Saccharomyces cerevisiae S288C: one gene and its partners. The gene in region 3 interacts genetically with the main gene of each other region. Each region holds a gene or a part of one and is shown on either strand. Other genes may lie near its edges.

What was found. A genetic interaction does not mean that the proteins touch.
Region 1: of GAL3 (region 3) and GAL10, changing one enhances a phenotype caused by changing the other (phenotypic enhancement), as found in Saccharomyces cerevisiae (2 studies listed by BioGRID, with this or other methods).
Region 2: mutations in GAL3 (region 3) and HOS2 together harm fitness less than expected from each alone (positive genetic interaction), as found in Saccharomyces cerevisiae (3 studies listed by BioGRID, with this or other methods).

What each region holds. Positions count from the first base shown.
Region 1 is NC_001134.8:273,717-282,113, forward strand, and holds GAL10 (bifunctional UDP-glucose 4-epimerase/aldose 1-epimerase), read right to left. Parts: upstream 4,637-8,397; coding exon 2,537-4,636; downstream 1-2,536. Other genes in the region: GAL7 (UDP-glucose:hexose-1-phosphate uridylyltransferase), read right to left, coding at 711-1,811; GAL1 (galactokinase), read left to right, coding at 5,305-6,891; FUR4 (uracil permease), read left to right, coding at 7,727-8,397. UniProt on the Saccharomyces cerevisiae protein: Mutarotase converts alpha-aldose to the beta-anomer. It is active on D-glucose, L-arabinose, D-xylose, D-galactose, maltose and lactose.
Region 2 is NC_001139.9:137,832-145,149, reverse strand, and holds HOS2 (histone deacetylase HOS2), read left to right. Parts: upstream 1-3,423; coding exon 3,424-4,782; downstream 4,783-7,318. Other genes in the region: COX13 (cytochrome c oxidase subunit VIa), read right to left, coding at 1-342; IME4 (mRNA (N6-adenosine)-methyltransferase), read right to left, coding at 1,102-2,904; YGL193C (uncharacterized protein), read left to right, coding at 2,923-3,234; YGL194C-A (uncharacterized protein), read left to right, coding at 5,189-5,431; GCN1 (Gcn1p), read right to left, coding at 5,607-7,318.
Region 3 is NC_001136.10:459,067-466,730, forward strand, and holds GAL3 (transcriptional regulator GAL3), read left to right. Parts: upstream 1-4,367; coding exon 4,368-5,930; downstream 5,931-7,664. Other genes in the region: SOK1 (Sok1p), read right to left, coding at 1-2,181; phosphoribosylanthranilate isomerase TRP1, read left to right, coding at 2,776-3,450; YDR010C (uncharacterized protein), read right to left, coding at 5,985-6,317; ATP-binding cassette transporter SNQ2, read left to right, coding at 6,853-7,664.

The DNA of each region.
Region 1 (8,397 bases), on a different chromosome or scaffold from region 3:
ACTACTGCTAACAATTCTGAAAACCAAAGACTGCGGAATATTCTGATATGTATTATTACTATTCACTGCTCTTCTGCATAATTAATACTGAAAAGTTTTTCATACTTTTAAACATAACCTTTTTTTAAGCAAAACTCTATAACCCGGATCAGAAAACTACGAAAAGAGGGTAATAACATAGGTGCAGGATTTCCATCGATAACGACACCGACAATGAGCCTTGCTGCAACATCCAATTAGGACTAATAACTATCGTAGGAATTTCTACGTAATAAACTTCAACAGAGCCTAAAATTTGAAAATAAATAATCTAGAGGGGAAACTTAAAGAAATTCTATTCTTGTCAATAAAGTGGAAATGTGTCAGATGTCACAGTTTCTTTATTTGTGACACATATTTTCAACATAAATTCAGGCATTAGTGCTTTTATAAGCATAAGAAGTTGTGGCGATATGAATATTCCAGATTTTACTTACAAGCTGCATTGTATTCCTAAAATTCTTTTTTCTTTTTTTTTTTTTTTATGGAAAGGACCACTCTTACATAACTAGAATAGCATTAAGAATCAGATTTACAGATAATGATGTCATTATTAAATATATATATATATATATTGTCACTCCGTTCAAGTCGACAACCAATAAAAAATTTAAAAGAAACCAGGCAGTTAATAGAAAAAATATGATATGAATGAATATTCCACTTTCTTTTTACAGTCTTTGTAGATAATGAATCTGACCATCTAAATTTCTTAGTTTTTCAGCAGCTTGTTCCGAAGTTAAATCTCTTTGAGGCTCACCTAACAATTCAAAACCAACCAAGAATTTCCGAACAGTAGCTGATCTCAGTAAAGGTGGGTAGAAATGCATGTGAAACCAACTATTACTCAATTCATCACCAGTCGCATTCAAAGGAGCCTGATGGATACCCATTGAGTATGGGAAACTCGTTTCAAATAAATTATCATACTTAATAGTTAGTTGCTTTAAAATCGAGGCGAGGTCCTCCTTCACCATTTGGTTAAATTGGCTAATTGAGGCAAGCTTCTTCTTTGAAATGACCAAGGTCTCAAATGGCCAGATGGCCCAGTATGGAACAACAACAATAAAGGATTCATTCTCCACTACGACTCTTGACTTCTCTCTTGATTCTAATTTGACGTAATCGGCAAACAAATCAGTATTGTGTTCACGTTTATATTTATCAAAAGATTTCAATTCTTGCGAAACTTCACTAGGGATGGATTCTAAGCACCAAGCTTGGCCATGTGGATGTAAGTTGGAACAACCCATGGCTGTACCTTTGTTTTCAAATATTTGGACATATTTGAAAGGCTTATGATTTTCTCTTGCTTCTCTGGAGAGATCGTCAGTCAATGCTTGCCAAGAATTAACAATATGAACCAGATCTGATTGTTTCATTTGTGGAATGGTTAGATTATGATTGGGGCTAAAACATATGACGAAACAATTGCCTCTCACAGATTGCACTTTAAGCAGCCTATTTTTAAGATTATCCTCATTGGAATCATTCTGTGGTAAAATAGGTTGATCGAGCCTAACGGCAGCATAATCATTGGGGAAAATATACGTTGATTCATATCTTGGGTTTAGGTTACCAGTAGCTCTTTTGTTACCAGGACATAGATAGCATTTTGGATCATACAATGGAGCTGTGGGCTTGTAAGCAGCCTCCTGTTGACCTAACCAAGGTCTTTTAGCTCTGTGTGGAGAAACTAAGATCCATGAATCGGTTAGTGGATTGTAACGTCTATGGGAATGGCTAGAAAAATCAAATTCTTCAGCAGTCATTTTTGAGGGAATATTCAACTGTTTTTTTTTATCATGTTGATGCTCTGCATAATAATGCCCATAAATATTTCCGACCTGCTTTTATATCTTTGCTAGCCAAACTAACTGAACATAGCTACACATTATTTTCAGCTTGGCTATTTTGTGAACACTGTATAGCCAGTCCTTCGGATCACGGTCAACAGTTGTCCGAGCGCTTTTTGGACCCTTTCCCTTATTTTTGGGTTAAGGAAAATGACAGAAAATATATCTAATGAGCCTTCGCTCAACAGTGCTCCGAAGTATAGCTTTCCAAAAGGAGAGGCAAAGCAATTTAAGAATGTATGAACAAAATAAAGGGGAAAAATTACCCCCTCTACTTTACCAAACGAATACTACCAATAATATTTACAACTTTTCCTTATGATTTTTTCACTGAAGCGCTTCGCAATAGTTGTGAGTGATATCAAAAGTAACGAAATGAACTCCGCGGCTCGTGCTATATTCTTGTTGCTACCGTCCATATCTTTCCATAGATTTTCAATTTTTGATGTCTCCATGGTGGTACAGAGAACTTGTAAACAATTCGGTCCCTACATGTGAGGAAATTCGCTGTGACACTTTTATCACTGAACTCCAAATTTAAAAAATAGCATAAAATTCGTTATACAGCAAATCTATGTGTTGCAATTAAGAACTAAAAGATATAGAGTGCATATTTTCAAGAAGGATAGTAAGCTGGCAAATCAGGAAAATCTGTAGACAATCTTGGACCCGTAAGTTTCACCGTTTTTCAAGGTTACACAATCTTTCCAGTTCTCTTGATTGATAGCATCAATGTATCTACCAGGCTCAATTGCAAAACCTTGTCTTGCTTCGTAACCAGCAGACAAGAAATCACCGGTATAAAATTGATAAGTTGGCTCTGTACTTAAAACTTCTAATGTAATATTGGAATCGGGATGAAAAGCCTTGACAATAAGCGTCAATTCATTGTTTAGAGTATTGATTTGACTTGGCTTAGCATTTTCATCCACCACAAAACAACAATCAAACTGGGGATTTTTGGGGCCTAAGACCGTTGGCTTTGTAGAGTTAAAGGTAGCAATTTCTCTATCGACGATATTACCCGTAGGAATCATGTTTTTGTCGACATCAACAGATTTTTTTGAACGCACCATAATCTCCGTACCCTCAATAGTGTCTCCATATGGCTTGTTCAGATTGAAATAACTATGATTTGTTAAATTTATTGGCGTCGCTTCACCAGCAGTCAATTTACCTTTATATACCATTTCCAAACTTTTTTGGGCAACGTTCACAGTATACTGTATGGTTACCAATAGATCACCTGGAAATTCGGTGTCCTTCTCATTATCTATCAGCATGTACTCGGCGGTAAAAACATCCTTTGAAGGATTTTGAATGATGGGTCCCAAAAATCTTTTTCTGTGGAAAGAACCGATACTACTATGATTCGCATTAACGCCGTTATTAACGGTTAACTGATAGTCTTTGTTGCATAAACTAAACTTACCCTTCGAAATACGATTAGCATACCTGCCGATCGTGGCGCCTATATAAGCACTATCAGGATTCAAATACCCTTCCTCATTTTCATAGCCAAGAACAACTGATTGTCCGTTCACTTTCAGGTCAACAATGCTGGCGCCCAAATTGGCAAACGTGGCTTGAAATCTGGTGCCGGCACCAATAGTCACAAATCTTGCGTCATAACGCATATCTTCAGCGGAAAATCTGGCCTCGACACCCCTTAACTGGTAACCAAAAGGATTCTCAGTAGTCCATTTCCATAAATCCTTGCAGGAGTCTTCAACCTGCAACTCGGTCTGCCATTTCAGTTCGCGTTTGGCCCTATCTGGTTTAGCCGTCAAGTTCAAAACATCACCTGCTCTTCTGCCCGTAACTTTGTATGGAAGATCAATACCAGAAGCTTTGCAGAATGCATGATAAACTTCAAAAACTGTAGAACCTTTACCGGAACCCAAGTTCCACTCACGACACAAACCTTCATTTTCATTGTAGGCCTCTAGGTATTGCAGGGCTGCAATATGACCTTTTGCTAGATCAACTACGTGGATATAATCCCTGATCGGGGTACCATCTCTGGAATCATAATCGTCTCCGAAGATGTAAAGCTTCTCGCGCCTACCAACAGCTACTTGAGCCATATATGGCAACAAATTGTTTGGTATACCTAGCGGATCTTCTCCGATTAATCCAGAGGGATGTGCGCCAATTGGGTTAAAATAACGCAAGATAGCAAACTTCCAACTTTTTTTGTCGCTATTGTAAAGATCATTCAAGATATTCTCAATGGCGTATTTCGTATGACCATACGGATTAGTAGGCCCTAAGGGACATTCTTCTGGGATAGGAATCATATTTGGGAATCTCGTAGCATCACCATAGACAGTAGCAGAAGATGAAAAAACAAATTTGGAAACGTTGTATTGTTGCATTAACTCTAATAAAACGACAGTTCCCAAAATGTTATTGTGATAGTATCTCAGCGGGATTTGTGTAGATTCACCTACAGCCTTTAAACCAGCAAAGTGAATTACCGAATCAATTTTATATTCTTTGAAAACCTTTTCCAGACCTTTTCGGTCACACAAATCAACCTCATAGAAGGGAATGTGATGCTTGGTCAAGACCTCTAACCTGGCTACAGAATCATAAGTTGAATTCGACAGGTTATCAGCAACAACACAGTCATATCCATTCTCAATTAGCTCTACCACAGTGTGTGAACCAATGTATCCAGCACCACCTGTAACCAAAACAATTTTAGAAGTACTTTCACTTTGTAACTGAGCTGTCATTTATATTGAATTTTCAAAAATTCTTACTTTTTTTTTGGATGGACGCAAAGAAGTTTAATAATCATATTACATGGCATTACCACCATATACATATCCATATCTAATCTTACTTATATGTTGTGGAAATGTAAAGAGCCCCATTATCTTAGCCTAAAAAAACCTTCTCTTTGGAACTTTCAGTAATACGCTTAACTGCTCATTGCTATATTGAAGTACGGATTAGAAGCCGCCGAGCGGGCGACAGCCCTCCGACGGAAGACTCTCCTCCGTGCGTCCTCGTCTTCACCGGTCGCGTTCCTGAAACGCAGATGTGCCTCGCGCCGCACTGCTCCGAACAATAAAGATTCTACAATACTAGCTTTTATGGTTATGAAGAGGAAAAATTGGCAGTAACCTGGCCCCACAAACCTTCAAATTAACGAATCAAATTAACAACCATAGGATGATAATGCGATTAGTTTTTTAGCCTTATTTCTGGGGTAATTAATCAGCGAAGCGATGATTTTTGATCTATTAACAGATATATAAATGGAAAAGCTGCATAACCACTTTAACTAATACTTTCAACATTTTCAGTTTGTATTACTTCTTATTCAAATGTCATAAAAGTATCAACAAAAAATTGTTAATATACCTCTATACTTTAACGTCAAGGAGAAAAAACTATAATGACTAAATCTCATTCAGAAGAAGTGATTGTACCTGAGTTCAATTCTAGCGCAAAGGAATTACCAAGACCATTGGCCGAAAAGTGCCCGAGCATAATTAAGAAATTTATAAGCGCTTATGATGCTAAACCGGATTTTGTTGCTAGATCGCCTGGTAGAGTCAATCTAATTGGTGAACATATTGATTATTGTGACTTCTCGGTTTTACCTTTAGCTATTGATTTTGATATGCTTTGCGCCGTCAAAGTTTTGAACGAGAAAAATCCATCCATTACCTTAATAAATGCTGATCCCAAATTTGCTCAAAGGAAGTTCGATTTGCCGTTGGACGGTTCTTATGTCACAATTGATCCTTCTGTGTCGGACTGGTCTAATTACTTTAAATGTGGTCTCCATGTTGCTCACTCTTTTCTAAAGAAACTTGCACCGGAAAGGTTTGCCAGTGCTCCTCTGGCCGGGCTGCAAGTCTTCTGTGAGGGTGATGTACCAACTGGCAGTGGATTGTCTTCTTCGGCCGCATTCATTTGTGCCGTTGCTTTAGCTGTTGTTAAAGCGAATATGGGCCCTGGTTATCATATGTCCAAGCAAAATTTAATGCGTATTACGGTCGTTGCAGAACATTATGTTGGTGTTAACAATGGCGGTATGGATCAGGCTGCCTCTGTTTGCGGTGAGGAAGATCATGCTCTATACGTTGAGTTCAAACCGCAGTTGAAGGCTACTCCGTTTAAATTTCCGCAATTAAAAAACCATGAAATTAGCTTTGTTATTGCGAACACCCTTGTTGTATCTAACAAGTTTGAAACCGCCCCAACCAACTATAATTTAAGAGTGGTAGAAGTCACTACAGCTGCAAATGTTTTAGCTGCCACGTACGGTGTTGTTTTACTTTCTGGAAAAGAAGGATCGAGCACGAATAAAGGTAATCTAAGAGATTTCATGAACGTTTATTATGCCAGATATCACAACATTTCCACACCCTGGAACGGCGATATTGAATCCGGCATCGAACGGTTAACAAAGATGCTAGTACTAGTTGAAGAGTCTCTCGCCAATAAGAAACAGGGCTTTAGTGTTGACGATGTCGCACAATCCTTGAATTGTTCTCGCGAAGAATTCACAAGAGACTACTTAACAACATCTCCAGTGAGATTTCAAGTCTTAAAGCTATATCAGAGGGCTAAGCATGTGTATTCTGAATCTTTAAGAGTCTTGAAGGCTGTGAAATTAATGACTACAGCGAGCTTTACTGCCGACGAAGACTTTTTCAAGCAATTTGGTGCCTTGATGAACGAGTCTCAAGCTTCTTGCGATAAACTTTACGAATGTTCTTGTCCAGAGATTGACAAAATTTGTTCCATTGCTTTGTCAAATGGATCATATGGTTCCCGTTTGACCGGAGCTGGCTGGGGTGGTTGTACTGTTCACTTGGTTCCAGGGGGCCCAAATGGCAACATAGAAAAGGTAAAAGAAGCCCTTGCCAATGAGTTCTACAAGGTCAAGTACCCTAAGATCACTGATGCTGAGCTAGAAAATGCTATCATCGTCTCTAAACCAGCATTGGGCAGCTGTCTATATGAATTATAAGTATACTTCTTTTTTTTACTTTGTTCAGAACAACTTCTCATTTTTTTCTACTCATAACTTTAGCATCACAAAATACGCAATAATAACGAGTAGTAACACTTTTATAGTTCATACATGCTTCAACTACTTAATAAATGATTGTATGATAATGTTTTCAATGTAAGAGATTTCGATTATCCACAAACTTTAAAACACAGGGACAAAATTCTTGATATGCTTTCAACCGCTGCGTTTTGGATACCTATTCTTGACATGATATGACTACCATTTTGTTATTGTACGTGGGGCAGTTGACGTCTTATCATATGTCAAAGTCATTTGCGAAGTTCTTGGCAAGTTGCCAACTGACGAGATGCAGTAAAAAGAGATTGCCGTCTTGAAACTTTTTGTCCTTTTTTTTTTCCGGGGACTCTACGAGAACCCTTTGTCCTACTGATTAATTTTGTACTGAATTTGGACAATTCAGATTTTAGTAGACAAGCGCGAGGAGGAAAAGAAATGACAGAAAAATTCCGATGGACAAGAAGATAGGAAAAAAAAAAAGCTTTCACCGATTTCCTAGACCGGAAAAAAGTCGTATGACATCAGAATGAAAAATTTTCAAGTTAGACAAGGACAAAATCAGGACAAATTGTAAAGATATAATAAACTATTTGATTCAGCGCCAATTTGCCCTTTTCCATTTTCCATTAAATCTCTGTTCTCTCTTACTTATATGATGATTAGGTATCATCTGTATAAAACTCCTTTCTTAATTTCACTCTAAAGCATACCCCATAGAGAAGATCTTTCGGTTCGAAGACATTCCTACGCATAATAAGAATAGGAGGGAATAATGCCAGACAATCTATCATTACATTTAAGCGGCTCTTCAAAAAGATTGAACTCTCGCCAACTTATGGAATCTTCCAATGAGACCTTTGCGCCAAATAATGTGGATTTGGAAAAAGAGTATAAGTCATCTCAGAGTAATATAACTACCGAAGTTTATGAGGCATCGAGCTTTGAAGAAAAAGTAAGCTCAGAAAAACCTCAATACAGCTCATTCTGGAAGAAAATCTATTATGAATATGTGGTCGTTGACAAATCAATCTTGGGTGTTTCTATTCTGGATTCATTTATGTACAACCAGGACTTGAAGCCCGTCGAAAAAGAAAGGCGGGTTTGGTCCTGGTACAATTATTGTTACTTCTGGCTTGCTGAATGTTTCAATATCAACACTTGGCAAATTGCAGCTACAGGTCTACAACTGGGTCTAAATTGGTGGCAGTGTTGGATAACAATTTGGATTGGGTACGGTTTCGTTGGTGCTTTTGTTGTTTTGGCCTCTAGAGTTGGATCTGCTTATCATTTGTCATTCCCTATATCATCTAGAGCATCATTCGGTATTTTCTTCTCTTTATGGCCCGTTATTAACAGAGTCGTCATGGCCATCGTTTGGTATAGTGTCCAAGCTTATATTGCGGCAACTCCCGTATCATTAATGCTGAAATCTATCTTTGGAAA
Region 2 (7,318 bases), on a different chromosome or scaffold from region 3:
TGTCTTATCACCGTCACCCCAGAAAAAAGGCTTAGACCTGATATTCATAAACTCGTAATCCCTTGGCCATTCGGAGTCTGGCACATGTTTCAAATGTTCACGATGCTCAGCATGCTCCTTTTCAACAAAGTATGTGTTCACAGCTGTTAAAGCAATTGCTGGTAGGGCGACCCAAACTGAGATTTTAACCCACATATTAGATGTGTCCTTCGCATGCTTTTCAGTGGCCATTAATGATTCTTTAAATTTTTGAGCTGCCACTTTATCTGGTGGGCCAAATGCAGGTTTCAAAGCATTTGGGGGTAATGAAGATGCATATCTCTTAGCACACTGTCTAAACATTTTTCTATTGTTTGTTATTTGTATAACTGTAGAACTGTAGTAATATGATTTTAAATCTAGATAAAACACATGCGATGTGTAGTGAAAACGTTCAAGGCAACGTGTATGTTTGTTATATTTAATGTATCCCGTCACTCATCGTGATCACATCCCAGCTGGGGGTTATTTTTCGATTCTCTTAGACCGATACTCCCAGTACCGCCTCTCATTGGTGGGAAAAAAAATTACCCGAAATTACTATATTGTGTCAATACCGCACCATATCACTACATTCATAGCGGTATAATCGAAAGGATAGCGGCGTTGGGTTACTACTATCGTCTACCTATTCAGCAGGATAGCTTACTCTGTATTAGCAAATAATAGTCGTTCTTCGCTATTCCCACAGTTTCCAGTAAGAACGATTGGAGTAGAAAAAAAGAATGGTAGAATGCGCCATGGGAAAGAACCGACCAAGAGTGGGAGCAAATAAGTCAAGTAATTACATTAGTAGTGTTTAATGGTTGAAAATATGGCCAGAACTAGTATTAGCTTTCTCCAGGCGACAACAATTTTTAAACATCCGGGTAATAAATTGTTCCAGTTGATGTAAAAAAATACACGGACTCGGATAATAATTATTGGACATAAACCATATCCTTCTCTATTCCAAAGTTTGTCTAATACAGACCAGGAAACCATTTACTTCCCGCTGCAGTCTTTTTTATGACCATCTTTTTTATGCAATGCTATTAATGTTTAAAAGGATTATTTAACGCTTTACTGAGCAAAATATAGGTTATTTAGTGTTTGGAATTGTTGTTTTTGTTGCTGTTTGGATTCAAAGGGAGTATGTTTTTGATTCATAGGATTCTGCTTGGCCTCAGCATAATACTTACCACTCCCCATATCCATATTATTCCAATACTGCTGCTGATGCTGCTGCTGTAATTTTGAAGGTTGCTTTTTGTCGATTTTTTTAGTACCAGTGTGGCTGGTTCCAGTTTTGCTCTTCATAAACTCCTGGTACTTCCTCTCGACATCCATTTCGTAAATGCAATTTCCTGTCAACTGGTTTCCGATGGTAAACCAGCCAGGCCGCGTATTGTGATCCCTTCCGAATATCTCTAGTTTTCTGGCATGGGTGCCTGCCAACCGTTCTGCTATACCATACAGTTCATCAGGCTTTCTACTAGTCTCTCTGGTCATTGATACGATCAAATCGACGTCAATATGTTTGTTGATCCACTTTGGATTACCCTTTAAGCCCACCAATAAATGCTCCTTAGAATGATTTAACCAATGACCCGTACGACCTGTAACAATTGTTCTACCCAGTTGGTTTGTCTTTATCCATGAAACTTCATTTATCACGTTGTAACCCCAGTTATTCAAAGACTCTTTACCCAATTCTATAGCTCTACCCGTCACCCAAAGAAAAATAATACCTTCATCTTGTAGTTCGTGCAAAGGCAAACCTAATAGTTCAATATCGTTGCAAGTACCGTATGGTAGGTTCATATGGATATTCCATGCAGGATCTGCAATAACTACCGAAAACTTTCCAAGAACCCTAAAATCAAATTTCCGCACATCGCAACGGATCCACTGTGCAGGTAAAGCCTTTTTGATACAATGTGCGGAGCAATTGCCCAGAGTATAAAATGGAATGGAAACGTTTGACCGTATTCTTTTATTTTCACTCGCAGTTTCACGATCAGCTCGCTCTTGCAAGCATGACGGAATATATTGCAGGTAATGAATGTATCGACACGTATTTAATTTATGACAGGTATCCAAATAGGAACAATCTCCTAACGAAATATCAGTTTGTGGTTTGATATTAGGGATAAAGTGAATTTTTGATTGAATGCACTCAATTAATCCTGGGTGATTTTCCTGACATGCGGATATTTTGGACCATTGTAAAGAAACGATTTTGTTATTGACAATGTACACCGAGGTGGACAATAGAGATGCATGCGAATAGTCACTACATATCGGGATGTATTCAATGACCTCGGTCGTGTATTTGGCTCTTTCTTTAGCAAGCTGAAAAGATGATGGTTTTTCCCTCAATAAATTTTGTAAGCGATTGCTCAGTTGTTCACGTGGTAACCCCTGGTTGCTGACGTTAACGTCCCAGTTCAGGACTCCAAGCAGTCTACCCAGCAGTTGGTCTTTTTCCGAATCAGCTTCCGGTTTTGTTGTTAAACTCGACACTTTTTCTTCACATGAAGAACTGGACGATTTTAATGTATAGTAGAAGGCATGGAACTTGTTATAGAGAATTTTCAAGGAAAAAACGTCCAGGTAAACAATTTTTTCTGGCCTATCTGCCACTAATAGATTCTGGTCAAATTGAATGGACTGCGGCGTTGCAAATATAATATCCTGAAGATCATTCCAAAACTGTTCAAACTGTAAGACCTCGTCTTTATCGTTTCTCAACTTCTGCATCTCATCATCGTATCCGCCACTGATGTACAGTGAATACACATCTTTGAGCTGTCCAGAAAGCGGTGCTCTTAGGATGTCATCATAATTCTGGATCAGAAAATGTACTAGTTTATCGTTAATCATAGCCTGCTTACAACTTTTATGAATTCAAGTCTGAATGCCAATTCTTATTTTTTTCGAAAACCCCCAATGCTAACTTATATGGTCCGTTTTCTTTACTGTTATCCATCTCCCTTTCCTATAGCTCCAGCGGTTACCGATCTTCCAGAATGCCGGGGAGATCTTTCTCTTTCTTTGTTTATAACAAGTTTCACAAGCACGAAAGAAAGAACAATACTGTACGCCAAAAGCCGCCTAAAGACGCATATTCCCGTCAATTTATGTGACCGGTACCACTATATACCTAAGGCACCTCTATACCAATGTAGAATGCCCTGTTTATACTCTATATAGAGGATTCTCGATGTTCTTTGGGGCATCGTTAAACGTGATATTCCTACTATGTTACTAAATGTTGAACTGAAAGCATCTTGAAACGATTCTAATCAGTTTTAGGTGTGTCGCCAATGTACAGTTATAGAAAAGACGCCAGATTACTCAAGTACGTTAAAATCAGGTATCAAGTGAATAACAACACGCAACATGTCTGGAACATTTAGTTATGATGTGAAAACAAAGGAGAACGAACCATTATTTGAGTTTAATTCTGCTTATTCTCCCAGGGTATCGTATCATTTTAACTCCAAAGTTTCACATTACCATTATGGTGTTAAGCATCCAATGAAGCCGTTTCGGTTAATGCTAACGGATCACCTAGTTTCCTCTTATGGATTGCACAAGATTATGGACCTTTATGAAACAAGAAGCGCTACCAGAGACGAATTACTACAATTTCACTCGGAAGACTACGTGAATTTTCTCTCGAAGGTTTCACCAGAAAATGCAAACAAACTGCCCAGAGGCACACTTGAAAATTTTAACATTGGAGACGACTGTCCTATTTTTCAAAATTTATATGATTATACAACACTATACACTGGTGCGAGCCTTGACGCCACCAGGAAACTAATCAACAATCAATCGGACATAGCGATAAATTGGTCTGGTGGTCTTCATCATGCAAAAAAGAATAGTCCATCTGGGTTTTGCTATGTAAATGATATTGTGCTTTCTATTTTGAACTTATTACGATATCACCCAAGAATCCTTTATATCGATATCGACTTACATCACGGCGATGGTGTCCAGGAGGCATTTTACACCACAGATAGGGTCTTCACGTTGTCTTTTCATAAATATAATGGCGAATTTTTCCCAGGAACTGGTGATCTGACAGAAATTGGTTGCGACAAAGGAAAACATTTCGCATTAAATGTACCCCTAGAAGATGGCATAGATGACGACTCATATATAAACCTTTTCAAGTCAATTGTAGATCCTCTAATAATGACTTTCAAACCAACACTTATTGTCCAACAATGCGGTGCGGATTCCTTAGGTCATGATCGCTTAGGATGCTTCAATTTAAATATAAAGGCACATGGAGAATGCGTAAAATTTGTCAAATCATTTGGTCTACCAATGCTAGTAGTGGGCGGTGGAGGTTATACACCTAGAAATGTATCACGGCTTTGGACCTACGAGACAGGAATTTTAAATGATGTCTTGCTACCAGAAGACATCCCCGAAGATATCCCATTCCGGGACTCATTCGGGCCGGATTATTCACTTTATCCTATGTTAGATGACTTATACGAAAACAAAAACAGTAAAAAACTACTGGAAGACATTAGAATACGATGTCTAGAAAATATCAGATACTTGCAAGGAGCACCAAGTGTCAGAATGGATGCTGAATGCATACCGACACAAGATATAAGTGCCCTGACAGAAGAAGAGGATAAAATCATTCAAGAAATGAATGAAGAAACAGAAGCAGACAGTTCAAATAGGCTAGAAGAAATGGAAAAAGAAAACAGTGGATTGATTGCCTTTTCATAGTTTAAGAGTTTGCTATTCGGTTAATCTCCCGTTTTTTTTTTTTTTTTTTTTTTTATTTTCCTTTTTTTTTTTTTAATGTTTTTAGCATATTATGTAGAGTGTTAAGGCCTTAAAAGTTATTTGCATCATTGTTAAAAATGACATGTATTGTATAAGAGTTCGGCTCTTCGATGCCGTCAGAAACATTTTTGGAAGGTGCACTCCGTATTCGAGACACTTCTGAAACGGACAAGTCACCAAACTACTCTGAAAACAACAAAAAAAAGCCTTTTCTTATAATTTGAAAGCTTCTCCCGCAGCATTATCGATATCGTGAAACTTCCAAAATCTTTCTTAATTAAACCGGACATCAGTGTCTACAACATTAGAGCAAGTCACTCAGTTCATGTAATACATCTGGACAATTATGTCTAATAAAGAGATAACTTGTATCAAACCGTTTAAAATTATTGCTCTAATTTTATTGATAGTTCTAATAATAAACCTCTCTTATAAGTTATTTCTGAGACGCTATTTAAAGTCGACAGTTATTTGGTGTTTAGGAATCGCCAATACAGATCGTAACGATATGATGTGGTGGCAAGTCTCGCCACTATTAGAGCGCTGGGTTTGGCAGTTAGTTGACAATTATGAATCCGGGTACGAATAATTATCAAGCCCTTATTAGCTACAATGCTGGGAGCAATAGATATATAAATAACCCTTATGCACAGCGGAAGACTTCAAAATATCTTTGTCTTTTATATCATTATGTGGTATGTATTATATAACGAGAATAATATATCAAATACAAAAAGTAACGAGGTTACCACATTGAATTTTCTTCAAATATCAGTGGTTAATTCAACACCTCCGACAGCCCATATTTCTCTTTCATCTTCAAATCTGTCACTAAACATTGTTTCCGCGTCTCCTCCGGCAGCAATCCTTTCTCTTTCGACATTTGCTAACCTTTTACCAACCCTCTTGGTATAGTCCCCAACAGACCGTAATTGAATTGTAGTACCTGTGACAGTTTCGATGCTGTTACCGCGATCTGAAATTTTAGCAAACCACTCGTTGAAAGTATGCATGTCATCTTCTTCAACCAATTTGAACAAAGCTAAATATGCTTTTTCTGCTGCGAGCTTAATTGGGATAACAGGATCACGCAAGCAAGAAAATACAGATGGTCCTACTACATCGAAGTATTGCTTAATGCACTCGTCAAATTTGAATCTGGCTAGTGTTCTTATAACCACCAAGGCCAACCTTCTTACATCCGTAGAATTACTGGCTGGTTGTAAGACAGCTTTGCTCAACTCATTAATTAACAGATTGATGTTTTCATCGCCAATTTTGAATGGTTCTGCAGCATCCTTTTTAACAAATGGAGACCTCTTTTCTCCTTCTAATAAAAGTAATTTACCAGCAGCAATGGTACCATTTTCTCCGAAGTAAACATCAGGGGAACGGATTGCATTCAAAATGTAACTTACAAATTCGTCTATCAAGCCCGTATTGAATATATGTGTTGGTGCATCTTTCAAAAAGGAATTCAAAGTCAGAATAGCAAACTTACCGGTTTCTCCATCTAGATCTGCATTCAAAACCTTGTCTTGCAATATCTTGTGGGCTTCGTCGTTCGACAAAATCTCTGATAACGATCCGATTAATTTAGCGTAAGCAACTGCCAATTTGTCATTGCTACCCAACATTTCTTCCTCAACTAAATTGACAATGTTTGTCTTAGAATTTTCGTTTAATTTGGAACCAGCCTTCATAATAACTTCCAGTAAAGCTTTAAGCATCGCAGTCTTGACACCTTCATCTGTGGCTTGCTTGGCACCTGTCACCAGTTCAATGACTAGAGGGTCAACACGAGGCTGATGTTCAATCAGGGCACCAAGAGCCTTTGCGGCGCGGAGACGTAACGTTTCATTGGTAGCGTCAGACAAGGATTTAACAAATGTTCTTTGTAATTGAGGGATAAAAGGCCTCAAGAACATTGGAATCTTAATGAATAGCACATTAAGTGCAAATAAAATTGCTGCTTTGATATCACTACTAAATCTTTCACCCACGACACGAATTAATGGACCAGTAATTACGCTCACAAATGGCTTCAAGTTAGCGGCAGGGGTCTTCGAAACAACGTCAGCAATGGCTAATGCAGATTCTTCCCTTTCATCATTCGAACCATACATCAAACCATGCAAGAAAATAGGCAAAACACAGTTAGGGCCTCTTGGAAGCTTAAATGCAGCGACATCTTGACCTTGCCTGCCTGTTAATGCCAATGACTGTTTAGCAGGCTTAACTAATTTTTCTAAGGTGGGCTTATCAACCTTCTTCAACAAAGTAGACAAAGCATTGAAGTTACCATTAACAACCCTTTGATCTTCATCATCTAATGATAAAATTGCGTGAGAGACAAAGTTCGGAATATAGACATCAAAATCAAGAACAGTCTTATCGAAGAAATTTGGCAAACGTTCTAAAACAGCTATGCGTTTCTCTATATTATCACTCTTTAGTAGTGACATAATCTGTTGAA
Region 3 (7,664 bases):
GTCAATAACTTTGCAAAGATGAACAGCAATAGACATTGTGTTTTTAGTCCACCTACAATTGCCGTGTTCATCTGTTATAATGCTGATAATTTCATTCTTCAGCCTTTTAGTTGAGTATGTATGAATAACATATTCCTTTGTAGCTTTATCCATTGAAGGATCGTTGGCCACCAATTGTTGGAAAAGTAAACGGCAAACTAAAATACAAACAATTTGACGTATATCGGCACGCAAAAGGATCAATCTTGCATGATCAAAAGAAAGCGGAGTTGGGTACTCTCTCACCATCTTCCTACATGACAATAGGTTAATTATACTTCTAATGCAAATATTGTAGACATCAGGGATAGTGATAGAACTTGGATTTCTAACAAGGCCAGCGGTAACATTTTCGTTGAATTTTTTATCAAACCAAAGTAGGGAAGTATTTAAATTCACCCTTTTAGAGGCTATAAGAGTGTTGAAATACTGTTTCTCAAATTCTACAGCATTACTTAACAGAGCTGGCCTTAGTATTCTTATTTGATGATTGGCAATATCCAATTTCATTGTTTCCAAAATTTGAAAAACCAACCTTAAACCTTCTATTAACCTTGTTAAAGAAGAGTCTCTTTCAGCTTCTTTAAATTTGTTGCTCATTTTATCCACCCATGGGTCCCTCATGGGGGCACAATGATGTTTAAATAAATCAGCCAACCAGCCTGACAAGTTAGACATTATCAGAGAACCTTTCAATAGTTCTTGAATGTTCAATTCTGTGTCCAGTACATTATTTATCATCGGAGACTCTTTTTGTGGGACTATCGTTAACAATACATCCCTTAAAGTGTCAAAAAGTGGGACTAGTCTTGACCTGTTATATTGGAATATTTCAGGCCTCTTAGAGTAAACATAAATTTCATTTTGAACATCATTCCAATAGATATTCGCCAATTGTCTTTTTTTATTCCCTCTTTCGCCATCAAGATTTGGCCTGAATTGTAGTAGCGGGTCGAATATTATATCATGTCTTAGTTGTGGGTTTTTCAGAATTTCCTGTAAGTCAATCTCTTTTAAGCCCTGCAAATTTATAGGAGGAAATGGAACAGGCGTTGGAGTAGCCTTTATGTAGTTTATTCTATCTTCCAAAGTTAAGTCAAAGTTTGAGCTTGATAGGAAGCTTTGATTTGTCATTGAAGTGGCAGTGGAATTATTAATGTTGTCATTATTAGCGTTAGTGCTTGCGTTACCTGATATTTGTTGATTTAAAAAAATTGCGCGCTTTAATGAAAGAGGGTTTGAACTGAGAGGATTATTAGAATGCAAATATGGTTGATGATGGTTTCTAGAAAATTTTTTCTTTGATATGCCGGAAGGAGTTGGATGATTTAAAAGAATATTTTGATTACGATAGTATTGATTGTGGGATGATAATTTTCTTAAAGAAGAATGCAAAATAGTGGGTACGGAATGCGACCTCATTTTTTTATTTGAAAAGATCCTTAAAAAGTTAGAAGCATTTCCTGGTGGCTGTTGTTGTGCTGCTTGTTCTTTGTGTGGTTCCGTTGCTGGTGGCAATTGCGGCGCGGATGCAGACGGTGGTTGCTTTGACGACGGTGGTGGGGAGGGAGATGGATTGTTGATATTAGTATAAATATTCTTTGGGGGTATCGAATCAACTTTATTGTTCCTCCTTATTTCTTCTTCATTATCATCGTTTTTCAAGAATTGACCAGTCTTGGTGTCGAACGTCTTGAATATAGTATTGTCCCTGTCTATAGGGATCTTCAAATCACTACTATTAGCTGAATTGCCACTGCTATCGTTGTTAGTGGCGTTAGTGCTTGCATTCAAAGACATGGAGGGCGTTATTACGCCGGAGCTCCTCGACAGCAGATCTGATGACTGGTCAATATATTTTTGCATTGAGGCTCTGTTTGGAATTATATTTTGAGATGACCCATCTAATGTACTGGTATCACCAGATTTCATGTCGTTTTTTAAAGCGGCTGCTTGAGTCTTAGCAATAGCGTCACCATCTGGTGAATCCTTTGAAGGAACCACTGACGAAGGTTTGGACAGTGACGAAGAGGATCTTTCCTGCTTTGAATTAGTCGCGCTGGGAGCAGATGACGAGTTGGTGGAGCTGGGGGCAGGATTGCTGGCCGTCGTGGGTCCTGAATGGGTCCTTGGCTGGTCCATCTCTATTCTGAAAACGGAAGAGGAGTAGGGAATATTACTGGCTGAAAATAAGTCTTGAATGAACGTATACGCGTATATTTCTACCAATCTCTCAACACTGAGTAATGGTAGTTATAAGAAAGAGACCGAGTTAGGGACAGTTAGAGGCGGTGGAGATATTCCTTATGGCATGTCTGGCGATGATAAAACTTTTCAAACGGCAGCCCCGATCTAAAAGAGCTGACAGGGAAATGGTCAGAAAAAGAAACGTGCACCCGCCCGTCTGGACGCGCCGCTCACCCGCACGGCAGAGACCAATCAGTAAAAATCAACGGTTAACGACATTACTATATATATAATATAGGAAGCATTTAATAGAACAGCATCGTAATATATGTGTACTTTGCAGTTATGACGCCAGATGGCAGTAGTGGAAGATATTCTTTATTGAAAAATAGCTTGTCACCTTACGTACAATCTTGATCCGGAGCTTTTCTTTTTTTGCCGATTAAGAATTCGGTCGAAAAAAGAAAAGGAGAGGGCCAAGAGGGAGGGCATTGGTGACTATTGAGCACGTGAGTATACGTGATTAAGCACACAAAGGCAGCTTGGAGTATGTCTGTTATTAATTTCACAGGTAGTTCTGGTCCATTGGTGAAAGTTTGCGGCTTGCAGAGCACAGAGGCCGCAGAATGTGCTCTAGATTCCGATGCTGACTTGCTGGGTATTATATGTGTGCCCAATAGAAAGAGAACAATTGACCCGGTTATTGCAAGGAAAATTTCAAGTCTTGTAAAAGCATATAAAAATAGTTCAGGCACTCCGAAATACTTGGTTGGCGTGTTTCGTAATCAACCTAAGGAGGATGTTTTGGCTCTGGTCAATGATTACGGCATTGATATCGTCCAACTGCATGGAGATGAGTCGTGGCAAGAATACCAAGAGTTCCTCGGTTTGCCAGTTATTAAAAGACTCGTATTTCCAAAAGACTGCAACATACTACTCAGTGCAGCTTCACAGAAACCTCATTCGTTTATTCCCTTGTTTGATTCAGAAGCAGGTGGGACAGGTGAACTTTTGGATTGGAACTCGATTTCTGACTGGGTTGGAAGGCAAGAGAGCCCCGAAAGCTTACATTTTATGTTAGCTGGTGGACTGACGCCAGAAAATGTTGGTGATGCGCTTAGATTAAATGGCGTTATTGGTGTTGATGTAAGCGGAGGTGTGGAGACAAATGGTGTAAAAGACTCTAACAAAATAGCAAATTTCGTCAAAAATGCTAAGAAATAGGTTATTACTGAGTAGTATTTATTTAAGTATTGTTTGTGCACTTGCCTGCAGGCCTTTTGAAAAGCAAGCATAAAAGATCTAAACATAAAATCTGTAAAATAACAAGATGTAAAGATAATGCTAAATCATTTGGCTTTTTGATTGATTGTACAGGAAAATATACATCGCAGGGGGTTGACTTTTACCATTTCACCGCAATGGAATCAAACTTGTTGAAGAGAATGTTCACAGGCGCATACGCTACAATGACCCGATTCTTGCTAGCCTTTTCTCGGTCTTGCAAACAACCGCCGGCAGCTTAGTATATAAATACACATGTACATACCTCTCTCCGTATCCTCGTAATCATTTTCTTGTATTTATCGTCTTTTCGCTGTAAAAACTTTATCACACTTATCTCAAATACACTTATTAACCGCTTTTACTATTATCTTCTACGCTGACAGTAATATCAAACAGTGACACATATTAAACACAGTGGTTTCTTTGCATAAACACCATCAGCCTCAAGTCGTCAAGTAAAGATTTCGTGTTCATGCAGATAGATAACAATCTATATGTTGATAATTAGCGTTGCCTCATCAATGCGAGATCCGTTTAACCGGACCCTAGTGCACTTACCCCACGTTCGGTCCACTGTGTGCCGAACATGCTCCTTCACTATTTTAACATGTGGAATTCTTGAAAGAATGAAATCGCCATGCCAAGCCATCACACGGTCTTTTATGCAATTGATTGACCGCCTGCAACACATAGGCAGTAAAATTTTTACTGAAACGTATATAATCATCATAAGCGACAAGTGAGGCAACACCTTTGTTACCACATTGACAACCCCAGGTATTCATACTTCCTATTAGCGGAATCAGGAGTGCAAAAAGAGAAAATAAAAGTAAAAAGGTAGGGCAACACATAGTATGAATACAAACGTTCCAATATTCAGTTCTCCGGTCAGAGATTTACCAAGGTCTTTCGAACAAAAACATTTAGCGGTTGTAGATGCATTTTTCCAAACATACCATGTCAAACCTGATTTTATCGCTAGGTCTCCTGGCAGAGTAAATCTGATTGGTGAGCATATAGATTATTGCGATTTTTCAGTTTTGCCATTAGCCATTGATGTGGATATGCTTTGCGCAGTTAAAATTTTAGACGAAAAAAATCCATCCATTACCTTAACAAATGCGGACCCTAAATTTGCTCAGCGAAAGTTTGATCTGCCTTTAGATGGTTCCTACATGGCCATAGATCCGTCTGTGTCGGAATGGTCGAATTACTTTAAATGCGGACTACATGTGGCACATTCATACTTGAAAAAAATTGCTCCGGAAAGATTTAATAATACACCCTTAGTAGGTGCGCAGATCTTTTGCCAGAGCGATATTCCTACTGGTGGTGGACTCTCATCTGCATTTACTTGCGCGGCAGCACTAGCCACAATTAGAGCCAATATGGGAAAAAATTTTGATATTTCCAAAAAAGACTTGACCCGCATCACAGCGGTTGCTGAGCACTATGTTGGAGTCAATAATGGTGGTATGGATCAAGCAACGTCTGTTTATGGGGAAGAAGATCATGCTCTATACGTAGAGTTTAGGCCAAAACTAAAGGCCACACCTTTCAAGTTTCCTCAATTGAAAAATCATGAAATCAGTTTCGTCATCGCCAATACTCTTGTAAAGTCTAATAAATTCGAAACTGCTCCTACAAATTACAATTTAAGAGTAATAGAGGTAACAGTTGCTGCCAACGCCTTGGCGACCAGATACAGCGTGGCCTTACCATCTCACAAGGACAATTCTAACTCAGAAAGAGGGAATCTAAGAGATTTTATGGATGCTTACTACGCCAGATACGAAAACCAAGCCCAACCATGGAATGGAGATATCGGAACTGGTATTGAACGTTTACTCAAGATGCTACAATTGGTAGAAGAATCTTTCTCGAGGAAAAAGAGCGGATTCACTGTACATGAAGCCTCTACGGCGCTAAACTGTTCACGTGAGGAGTTCACTAGAGATTACCTGACAACTTTTCCCGTCCGCTTCCAAGTCTTGAAACTATATCAAAGAGCTAAACACGTTTACTCCGAATCCTTAAGGGTGCTTAAGGCTTTAAAAATGATGACAAGTGCCACTTTTCACACGGACGAAGATTTCTTTACAGATTTTGGCCGACTAATGAATGAGTCCCAGGCCTCTTGTGATAAACTTTATGAATGTTCGTGCATAGAAACCAATCAAATATGCTCGATTGCCCTAGCAAATGGTTCTTTCGGCTCCCGTCTCACTGGCGCTGGTTGGGGCGGTTGCACTATCCACCTTGTTCCTAGTGGCGCTAATGGGAACGTGGAACAGGTACGAAAAGCACTAATCGAAAAATTCTACAATGTAAGATATCCGGATCTCACAGATGAAGAACTAAAAGACGCAATTATAGTTTCGAAGCCTGCCTTGGGTACTTGTTTGTACGAACAATAACACTAAACACCTTCTTGGAACAACCTTTAAATATTAAAAGTTTACTCATACCTCTTACACTCTATAAAGAAACAAGTTGGTGAGTCCAATAGAACCCATTCCAGCATCCGATGCAACCATAGCCCGGTTGATGCGAGTCAGAGTGGCTCCGCACACAGAGGTTATGTGACCATGGTAACCGTACACATTTTTCCACGGCAAGGAAGTGGCGCGAAAGAAGCACCGCCCTCCACGGATCACCCCATTTGGAAAAGAACGGAGACATAAAAAAAAATTACCTTCACGCCAGACTATGTATGACTCGTAGAAATCTAGCATCCGCGGAGCTATTTTAAGTTTCCGCGGATGCCTTTCGATCCTTTCCCAGTCGTCTGGTTCCGCGCACATATGACTAAATGTCCGCCCATTTCCGTTTAAATCCGTTTTCTATTTTCTTTAGGTCTTTCCATTGTATTCCCTGCAACCCCGCTGGGTATTGGTATTACTAATAGTGACTACGCAACATCAACATATAAAACAAATGATGAGTAGTGCCCCTCCCTCACCGCTATCGCCTCACCACTTTTTATGCTTGTATATGCTTGTAGATAAATAAATACCTAACGAAAACAATATATACGAACCTAGTGTATTTGTATCTTTTGTTTTTCAAGTTGAAGTGTTGCGAGGTCAAAAAAAAAAAAGCTCACTGTAGGATATAGGAGTTACTATATCACCAGTGCATTACATTCTCAGTGCATCCATCGTCTTCAACATTGATTATTTTCTCCTTCCATTGATTAGAGTTCAAGCTCCCTGAGAAAACGAAGGTATAGCGGACGTACCCGCAGAGACATAAAAAAAGAAAAACTATATCGAAGACCGAAAGCAGTAAAAAAGTGGATAGAATAACACAGCTACCAAAATACGTAAAGAGAATTCAATGAGCAATATCAAAAGCACGCAAGATAGCTCTCATAATGCTGTCGCTAGAAGCTCAAGCGCTTCTTTTGCAGCTTCAGAAGAATCATTTACGGGCATAACCCATGACAAAGATGAGCAGAGCGATACCCCGGCGGATAAACTAACAAAAATGCTGACAGGACCTGCAAGAGACACTGCGAGCCAGATTAGTGCCACTGTGTCTGAAATGGCGCCAGATGTCGTATCTAAAGTGGAGTCATTTGCAGATGCACTATCCCGTCATACAACGAGAAGCGGTGCCTTTAATATGGATTCAGATAGTGACGATGGGTTCGATGCCCATGCCATCTTTGAAAGTTTTGTAAGAGACGCTGATGAGCAAGGCATCCATATCCGCAAGGCTGGTGTTACCATAGAGGACGTAAGCGCTAAAGGTGTGGATGCGAGTGCCCTAGAAGGTGCTACCTTTGGTAACATTCTTTGTTTACCGTTGACCATCTTTAAAGGTATTAAGGCTAAGAGGCATCAAAAGATGAGACAGATCATAAGCAATGTCAATGCCCTGGCAGAAGCGGGTGAAATGATTTTGGTTCTTGGAAGGCCTGGTGCTGGTTGTTCCTCCTTTTTAAAAGTAACAGCTGGTGAAATAGATCAGTTTGCCGGTGGTGTTTCCGGTGAAGTAGCATATGATGGTATTCCCCAAGAAGAAATGATGAAACGATATAAAGCAGATGTTATTTACAATGGTGAGTTGGATGTTCATTTCCCTTATTTAACAGTTAAGCAAACTTTGGATTTCGCTATTGCCTGCAAAACGCCTGCTCTCAGAGT